Linked DNA regions of Caenorhabditis elegans. The protein of the gene in region 1 interacts with the protein of each later gene in a pairwise test. Each region holds a gene or a part of one and is shown in the gene's direction. Other genes may lie near its edges.

What was found.
Region 2: the proteins of gipc-2 (region 1) and F19F10.1 interact in a two-hybrid assay, tested with the Caenorhabditis elegans proteins (one large-scale study listed by BioGRID).
Region 3: the proteins of gipc-2 (region 1) and F48D6.4 interact in a two-hybrid assay, tested with the Caenorhabditis elegans proteins (one large-scale study listed by BioGRID).

What each region holds. Positions count from the first base shown.
Region 1 is NC_003282.8:10,025,789-10,029,316, reverse strand, and holds gipc-2 (PDZ domain-containing protein), read left to right. Parts: upstream 1-1,650; 5' UTR 1,651-1,702; coding exon 1,703-1,737; intron 1,738-1,791; coding exon 1,792-2,089; intron 2,090-2,133; coding exon 2,134-2,874; 3' UTR 2,875-2,904; downstream 2,905-3,528. Other genes in the region: msd-2 (MSP domain-containing protein), read right to left, coding at 1-234.
Region 2 is NC_003283.11:7,561,552-7,565,038, forward strand, and holds F19F10.1 (ETS domain-containing protein), read left to right. Parts: upstream 1-1,695; 5' UTR 1,696-1,704; coding exon 1,705-1,950; intron 1,951-2,113; coding exon 2,114-2,268; intron 2,269-2,462; coding exon 2,463-2,694; 3' UTR 2,695-2,845; downstream 2,846-3,487.
Region 3 is NC_003284.9:4,245,915-4,248,907, reverse strand, and holds F48D6.4 (28S ribosomal protein S36, mitochondrial), read left to right. Parts: upstream 1-1,724; 5' UTR 1,725-1,773; coding exon 1,774-1,841; intron 1,842-1,891; coding exon 1,892-2,020; intron 2,021-2,063; coding exon of another isoform or gene 2,064-2,071; coding exon 2,072-2,171; 3' UTR 2,172-2,351; downstream 2,352-2,993.

The sequences.
Region 1 (3,528 bases):
AAAGTGAACAACAAGCTTGTCTTCTTTTGGTGCTCCAGCAGTACGAGTGATTGTGATGTCCTTTGAACCAGATGGATCAACGAATCCGAATACCGGAGTGATGCGGTATTCGTTGTTGTTTGAAGACTTGATCTTGAAGATCATCTTCTCAGCTCCAGCATTAACAAGTTTGTGGGTGGAAGCACCTCCAGCAGCTGGAACAGTGCACGCTGGTGGATCGGCCGTCAGAGACATCTTTTTGAAACTTTATGTTAAAGTTGTATAAACTGAACATATTACCCTTATTTATAGCAGTCGTTATCAAGATGAACCAGTGACCTTTCGTGAACTTTTGATTTTAAATATTTTTGTAAATTTAAAAAGGTTTGTTAATATCAACTGTCTGCTCCCTTTTGAAAATATAGTTTTTTAAAAGTTATTTACGCTCTCGAGAAGACGTGGAAGAGGTTAAGGAAAAAATAAAAATATAGAAAAAAAAATATTTTTGTAAATTTAAAAAAGTTTTTTTTTCCGATGTATGTAAGGATAAAAATAAATAAGTCATTAAATATATTTTTCTATAACATGAAAAATTCACCGCTAACTGGCGTCAACTAACAATGACGTGTTTAGTTGGAATGTCAATTTCAAAGGTTCGGAATTACTTGAGTTGTGGACTAATAGACACTAAAGAATAACTTTGAGATACGCGATTTTTGCCAAAAACAGAATGTCCACCTTCGGCACGACTAATTTTGAATTTTCGAATAACTTATTTTCATATATTTCGCCTAACAAAACATTTTTGTATGTAACAGAAATGTGTCGTGTGGAGACCAGATGTATTTATGGAGCAAAACTTTGCACATGATTGTAAATAATAAATCAGTGATTTAAAAAATCAATTTTAAATCAAAATGCGGAGAAATGGGCGGTAGGCAGCCAGGTAGGCACGTGGGCCTCAAGAACATTTTGTTTTTTCTTCTCAACATATTTTTTTGTCAGATAATTTAAAATTTATTTATTACAGTTACGATTGTTTATTGTACATGCATGAAACTCCTAACAATGCTTCTAATGTTTTGCGAGTTTTGAACGATGGCTTCTCACTTATTGGAACGTATGTTTTCAGTTCATTACTCAAATGAAGTAAAGGATCATATAGCTAACTAGAAGTTCTAAATTTTACATCCTTCACTTTGTTCGGCTCCTCCGATGAGTACATCACCCTCTTTGAGCTTATGAACAGCAGGAGTCTAATATTTTCGCCACAGACTTCTGAGATTTACGATTATACACGTCCCCGGGTCCCGACACGAGTGAAACGTTTCATCAAGCCTATACTTTGCCAAAAAAAAAATTTTTTTTAATAAGAAGTATCAAAATCACGGTAAGTATCAAGAAAATCATGCAAAGTCAAAGATCAAAGAACCCTGGATTTTGAGGCAAAAATCTATACATTTTTTCCGAATTACAATTTTACTTGTTACACGTGTTTGAGTTTAAAAACAGGTAAAAAAAGAAAGCATATACATGAATAAATAGAAACGAAAAAATATTCTAAAGTTATATTTTTTAATGAACTTGCTCAGCGTGGAACCCCACTTTGGTTGGCATCCAAGCTCCGCCCACATCAATGTCTATAAATAATCAATTTTCTGGTAAATCCTTCATTCATCGATTTACTCGACTTACAACAACTAATTACAACTAACTCTTCGCAATGCAAGGACAAGGAGCCCCATGCCGCCGTTCTAGGTATGCATTTCATGAGCCCGAGTCTCAGATCTCAGGTTACCATGAATATTTCAGAAGCCGATCAAGATCTCGTGGAGCCTTCAATCGTCGCTCCAACTATGGAGAAGCTCATCCAATTCAGCCTGCCGTTTTAGCTTCAATTGTCGAAGAACCATCATCTTCAATCATGCCAGTGGTGAACCCATTGATGGTTGCAGCAAAAGAGCTCAAATTTCCCTGCCAGTTGGCTCATGGATCTCCAGTTGCAATCATTGACAAATGGAACGATATGGAGGAATTGTACCAATCAATTGCTGATTTCTTTGCAATCTCAAAAGACGATATCATTTTCCTGACGGTTAATGATTTCAAGGCAAGCTTTGATACTTTAATTCCTCTAATTCGAAATATTTTCAGCCAGACATGAAGAACATGTTCAGTGGAACACTCAACTTCAAGGATATGCTCTTTGCACACGTTCGCGGACAAGCAACTGAGCTCCGAATGGTCAAAGACGCCAACGTCTTTGGAGTGACAGTCACTGACAACGGACTCGGAAATGCATTTATCAAGGTCATAAGCCCAGGTTCGGTGTTCGATCGTATGCGTCCAGCAACACAAGTTGGTCAACTCATTGAGGCGATTAATGGAGAGTCTGTGCTCGGTAAAAGACATTACCAAGTTGCTCGTATGTTGAAAAGTATTCGTCGCGGCGAGGAATGTATCATTCGATTGATTGCTCCAAAGAGTGCGGATCCAGGAACTATGAAGATGACTAGGAAAACTGGCGGAGATTTAGCAAAAGGAACCATTCGTTTCAAATCGGAAGGTGGATTTGCTGTTGAAGATATTCAAGATCAGATGATCCAGGCTGAGATGTGCGGGAAACTCAACGAACTGTTCGACCAATATTTGGGAGTTCAAGATGATCAATTGGCCATGAGAATATGGGAAACTGCCTCAAACTGCGAGACACTTTGGCAACTCAGTGAAGCCATCAAACAGTCGGAGCTCTCAATGTTCGAGTTCCCGGATGGATTGGTATTCGACATGTGGGGAATTATTGGTGATTTGAAACGCGAACAACGTGAGAAAAAGCCAATGCCAGTCATGAAGAATGCTATTTCAAGACCATCGGCTATGAAACTCTTTGACTAACTTGTATTGTCAAATAAATTATTTTTCTTGTCCTAGCTGAATTTAATTGTTTCTAAATCAATTTACTATATATAAAGCGCGTGTCGTTCCGTCACTATGTAGTTTGATCTCTGATCATTTTGGGAAACCTTATGCTAAATACGCAGCAGACATCGATCGAGGTCCGCGATAGACACCGTACATCTAATGTGCTTTCTCAAAAAAGTCGAGGGCCGCGCCGTAGGTGCTAGATTTCAACTTGCAATTGTATTCTCTCCAACAAGAATCGGCATTCTAGAGGTTTCCAATGATTTTATTTTGATGAAACGCTACAGTACTCCTTTTATACAATTGACCAGCCGCTGACCGCGCCTCCGGCGCGGCCAACGACTGGCGAAATTTGAAATGTTTGACACATCCCTGAATTCATTAGGTTTTTCTATAAAAAAAAGTAAGCAGAATTTGTTTCCCTGCTGCATGTGTTTAAGTTTTTTCGAATATGCTGAAAGATTAAATTTTGAAAACCATCACACCACAACCTTAAACAAAGTACAGTAACCCTACAGTACTACTACAGTACTACTACAGTACCTTGACATTATCCATCACCAACTCCCAACGCAATATCCCTTCAAAAGCTGAAAAATCAAAATTCCCTAAACTACAGTAACCCTA
Region 2 (3,487 bases), on another chromosome or scaffold:
TGTAGACCGACAAATATTGTGTACAATTTGAATTATTCGTGATTGTTCCGTTGAGTACAATCATATAATTCTGCAGTTAACCTATGCATAACGTCAAGACTTCGGAAGTTCACTCACGGGAATTCCGATAGAAGCGTTTAAATACAAGATAATAACAAATAACAGTAGCATCTATCAAGCTATAAAATTCTTATATTTGCTCAAGAAAATGCGAAATTCATCGTACTAAAAAATATGCTTCAAAAAGTCAATGAGCCGATACATGGATTCACTTGAATTGTTTTGGATTAAACTTTTGCTTCTTTCAAATGTTGAGCCTTGAAGTGAAAATATATTTTCAAACAGCATAATTTGGCAAAAATGGGAAACTGGGAATTGTTCAATTTGGGGGAAGTCCTGAAAATTATTGAAAATTGCAATTTATTGTCTTGGTGAAATTTTAAAACTTTAACCATACTTTAAAACGGGACTATGACAAACAATAATTTCAAATACAATTCATTTTAACAGTTGAACCATAATAAAACCAATGTTTAATTTTTTCTTGACCCTAAAATATCTTCCAGTGAAATCATGTAAAATTTCCGGTTGTGACACTTGAAAAACTTTTCTAAAAGTTGTCATGAAGTTTTTTTGTGAAAACATAAAATAAAATAAATAATGAATAGTTCCTAAATAGGTGAAAATATCACAAGATGTGATGTTTCAAAAAAGTATTATATTTCAAAGACTCGAATGGAATAACTTAGAAGCCCATAATAAAAATTAGTCATTATTTTGTTCGAACGTTTCCGCCGAAATTCTATCTGATTTTATGAAGTCCAGAACAATTTCCGAGAGCTCACATTGTTGTAAAAAATGACCCGAAAAAAATTCAGATCGTCTTATTTACGGTTGTATCAAATTTTTGTTTTAATATTATACGTTTTATCTAAAAATTCTGAAGTGAGCTTACACATCCTTTTGAATGTTTCTGTCAAAATTGGATTCGTAAAGTAAGCATTAAAGATTCTTTAATCAAACATTCAAAGTTCTCCTAGTTATATTCAGTTCAGTATGTTCATATGTTTCGTCTTATATCCCTGTACTAGTATGTGACCCCAATCAATATTCCAGACCTTCTCCCTGCAGCTCCACATTGCCTCCTCTACGCCCAACAAAGATGAAAGGGGATGTTTCCCCCATATTCTCACCAAAACATCTCCAGTTCAAACGACCGACTCTTTGGCGGTACGGAAGAATACAAAAGGTCCGCCTTTTTTTCTTTTTGCATAGCAGTCAGGTATGAATACCACACCATTTTCAGTCATTCCAGCTAGTTTGTGGTTACCGAGTCAGTGACTTCCTTTTCTTTTCGGTTTACATTTCCGGTACTTAGAAATTTTAATTCTTCGATTTATTCTCTTTTCAGTGAAACTATTTGTTTTCCAATTTTCCTGATCTCCCTTCATTATTTGCTGATTCAAAGTTGTTTTCTGCACCTATTTATTATTGCCAGCAGTCGTCTGTTCACCATGGCTGTAAAACCATTTCCGTTTGAACGCATTGTCACATAACCCCGGCGGTCTATTAGAACTGATTGTAAAACTATAAGAAACTGTGAGAGAGTGATTGTTTTCGTGGTTTTTACTCATATTTATGACTTCGTGTTTCCTTGTTTTTACTTATGTATTTTCTAATCCCAACTAATTTCAGATTTCAATAATGTCATCAAAACGTTCGTCCCCAACTGGAAAACTCCGTCTTCTGAGCTTCCTTCGTGACCTTCTTGAAGACGAATCGAATTCAGATATCATCTATTGGTTTGACAAATCTGAATCGGTATTCAAGATGAGCAAGCCACACAAGGTTGCCGAGCTGTGGGGAGCTGCTACGGGTAATCCAGGAATGAACTATGACAAAATGTCAAGAGGACTTCGTTATTTCTACACAAACAATACATTGGAAAAGGTTAGTTGAGTCGCGGTTGAATTTTAGGATTAAAATGTGTGCGTTTTTGGTTAACTGCGCTACTTGCTTGATAAATTCATGTAAATTTGGATACCGTCTTCAACCTAGATATTTGTTAAATTTTTAGTAGTTTCTTTCTAATTCAAATTTAATAATTTTCCAGGTTCCAGGCAAAGATGCTCGTTATCGCTTTATCGATTCTCCAAGACATTCGTTCCTAGATTTTTCCATGAAAACTGAACTTGAGACGCCAGTCAAAAGAACTCCTTTGTTCAATATTTCAAATCTAATTTCAGATTTCGAAGTTTCCAATAATAGGTATGAAGGGGGAAATTTTTGAGGAAATGTGCGCTTTTCTTTGGGGGACCCGGGGGAATTTTTTTCAGGTTCGTCATTTGGCTCGACTATGCTGCTACTGCGAGGAATTCACCTTTCACCAAATTCTACAACACGACATGATTGACTGGATTTCTTAGTCTTTCAATTTTCCAGATTGAATATTTATTTTTCAGCTTGACATCGTCACCAACATCGAGTGCATCTTCAGTAGAACCATCTTCGCCAACAACAACCGAATCATCACTGGATCCATCACAATTTGTGCAATTGACTCAAAACCTTGTTCAATTTAACACATTTATGTCTCAAAACCCAATGTTCCATACTTTGCCCCTACCCACACAACTTCAAGTTTTCTTCAATTTTAAGACAATTTTCCCCTCTTTGTTTCCGGCATTGGTGTGAGACTCCTAAATTTCCTAATAGGTTCTGACAATTGATTTTTTTTTTGCAAGTAGTGTTTTTGAAAAGTGACACTTGAAAACTCACGCTGTCGCAACGGTTCCTGAAAATAAGCAATTGTAATTGTTGTCAATAATAAATAATTTTAACAGAAATTGGTCAATATATATAAACCAATTAAAATGCTTTAATATTGGAATTTCATTCCAAAATAAGAAGATTATTTGTTGTTTATTCGGATCAAGATGAGATATAACAAAATGTAATACATAAAAGAAAGAAGCATCGGGATGAATCGAATAACACTTAAAATAAGAAAGACCCGTCTTAAGTAAGAAATGTAAAATATAATTTGACAGAAAAGGATAAATAATATTGAAAGTTAAAAGAACAAAATTTGATGGATTAGGAGATTCATAAACTGGGAGGAGGAAAGGAATGTTGGTACATTGTGAACTATACTGTTCCAAAGGGGAACGACAATAGAAAAGAAACCTTTGGACTTTGGATTGACTAGAGAAAGGAGCATCGGCCGACGTTGAGATCTGACATGCAAAATGAATATTTTTTGAATCTGGGAAATGTACAGCGCTTGTTATAATTTTATACAAGAGAATAAGATTAATCAACCTTTTGTGTTAAAGCAATTTTCATCTCACAAACAACTCCAATTTTTGTGTAGCCAATTTTTATTGCATCATGTAGCCGCTGAATTATTTTTACAAAAATTTCTTTGAAATTTTACTTTAATACAGATACTATTTATCTGTAGTAAAGTACTCATTTACTTTACTAC
Region 3 (2,993 bases), on another chromosome or scaffold:
TGTTTCAACAAGATAATTTTTCTTCAATTTCTTGTCACATTCTAAAAACATTCTAAACTGAAGCCTCAATGTAAAACCCAGACACATTTGTTTTATTGTGCGACTACATTGCAAAAATATCGAGAAAAATCGGAACCGGTTCGAATTGTTTTCCACAACATCGCACTTGTGATCAAGTGTTTTCTGGGAAGCAATCTTCGCTCGAACCGAGAGTTGTTGATACACAAGTTTTACAGATAAAAGTTATTACAGGCAAAACACCTTTTTTGACGTTTTCATTGTTTTATTTTGTCCTCAACTTCCATCATTTATCAATACAGTAATATTAAATTGTCCGTTGGAAGAATGTAAACAAAAGATTATTACTATTTATAGAAGTGAGGGGTCTTGACAACATGTCCTCGAATTAACTCCACTGGCCGTTGACAGACGCTGATATTTTCCGCGTTTACTTGAACTGTTTTCTTTTATAAAATGTGACGAATTTTCAGTTTATACTTGGTCTTTTAGAGTCACAAATGATGTTTGTTTATTAGAAAATCGTTTTCGTCGAGAAGGTTCAAAAGATCGGTGGCCAAGATCACGGTCCAAATAGTGACACCTGTTCTCTGCAGGTCAGATGTACGCGTTGTTGTTCACATAGAACATTTCCAGCAAATTTCCACGTTTTTCTAGCATCAATCATGTTTATTGTACCTTCCAAAAGGCGTGAATTGCAAGATGGCAAAAAATTCACTTCTAAATCTGAAAGTTTGTGCATGAAAGTACAGTACTAAATTCAACTGTTCATACAAAACAAAAGTGTCTAAGCTTCTGGGCTCTTGGAAGCGTGGGCGCAAAAAAAGTTATATTCAGAAGATCAGCTTGACCTGAAAACATTAAATCTAAAGTTTTTCGATTATCTTTGTTGGATTTATTCAATTTTTTCTGAGGAACAACTTCAGGTATTTGTGAGAAATGTTTTTCGAAAAGTTGAAAAAAAGACAAAAATATGATATACAAAAGATCTAAGCTTAGACAACTTGAATGCCATGTTGTTGCAAAGTTGCCGTACTTCCTGCAGCCGACAGTTGCCAGGTGCCAAAGGTTTCCGCGTTCGGTAACTTCCAACATCACCAGTTAGTTTATTAACTTAGTTTTTTACAACATTTTCCACTAGCTTTCTGACAACACCCAACGAACACTTTATGGGTCATTTTTCAGTGATAATAAATAATCTTTGGTCGAAAAAACCTGTTCCAATCAGTTGAATAGAAAATTAATCCAAGAATTAATGACATCACAATATTCCTCTGACTATAGTTCAGTTTCCAATTAGTCAATGTGAACATGAACTTATTTTAGATCATTTACTATTGCCTTTCATTGTGCCTTATCAGTTTCCCTTAATAATCTATGATCCCTTCATTTCATTCATTGTTTCCTGCGGACCTTACTTCGGACCTTACTCCCCTCGCAAACTTTCGGTTGTTGCTACGTGGCATGACATCACTTGTCAAAAACAATGACCAAAATTGGAGAACATAATAATAAGAGTACCTGTTCATACTCCCACCAAAGGGGCCGGGTCGCATCTCCACCGCTTCCCCACACTATTTCTTATCTTTCCCATCACCGATCGTATACTTTGTCCTCGCCGTCTTCGCCCCGATAATCGGAGCCGCCACCCCGCCTCTTTGGCGTAGATCGCGTATAAAAGCAGGCTATTGAAGACTGAGCCTCTCATCAGCCACCTGATATTCAGTTTCACAAATACACACAAACAATTTGAAAATGTCGACTCCAAAACTTGTCCGTGTTGCTCAATCTGCAGTTTTCAACCAATTCATGACAAGAGAAGCGTAAGTTTTGGATAGTAAAAATCTTTTTAAAAAACCATTGAAAATTTCAGAATCAGCTCAGCCACCTTCCGCCCAGCAGAGCCAAAAATGATGGACCAGCCAAAAATGAACATCCGAATTCACGATGAATCGACACACTTGAAATTCGGATTCCCAAAAACCGAAAAAGTGTCGAACCCGTAAGTATAGCTGTAGTTTATCAAAAATCCCTAGGTTATTCAGTGTTCCAGAAACAGTGACGACTTCATTCAATTGAACTGCGAAAAGTTGATAAAAGAAGAACAAGACCGACAATGCGCTTTTCTAAAGCTCACAAACCTTCGTTTTTAAATAATTTCTTTTCCCAACTTCTATCATCTACAAGATGTGATTGTAATTAATTAATATATTGTACTAGAGTAGGAACATTTGTACTCTCTTCATTTGAAAACACATTGCTTTACACTTTACACTGTTTCTATTTGTGATTTTTTGCCGATGTACAATTTGAAAATAAACGACTACTTGATGGTGACTGCTGCCGATAAAGACATAAACACATGAAAAAACCTGAAACTATAACAAATGTGTGAAAGTGTTGGATAAAAGTCCATTGAAAATTTATCAGGTTTCATCGGCAACAAAAGGCAACACGTGTGGTGTGTTGTGTTGTTGGCAGCAGGGATTGAAAAGATAAAATTGAGAGAGAAATTCGCAATCTTCCGAAAATACGGGGGACCGGTTGTTGTCTGGATATGAAAGTTTGCAGAATATATTTCGGATGTCATCTGAGAAAAATTTGGAAGATTAACATTTTAACTTGAACCATTTTTCGATAAAATTGTCCAACAAAATGTAGTAACAACAAGTTGGCACCTCAATTTTTGAATGTTTTTTTTAATGCTCGTCGAAAATTTCAGAACTTTGAAAAATGTATATTTTACCTCAAATTAGCAACAAAAATGTTTTATGAGGTACCACTAGCACCTCGAAAATTTCATTCAGAACATTTTTCAGCAACAACATTTTGATATAATATTTTGTAGCGCCAGTGGGAAAATTATTAAAAATCACTTCTATGGTGCCAAAATAAAAATTTCATATTATGTTCCAATAACTGATAATCACTAAGTTTTGCCACTTTTTTGGAAGTCATCGGTCAAGAAAACATTT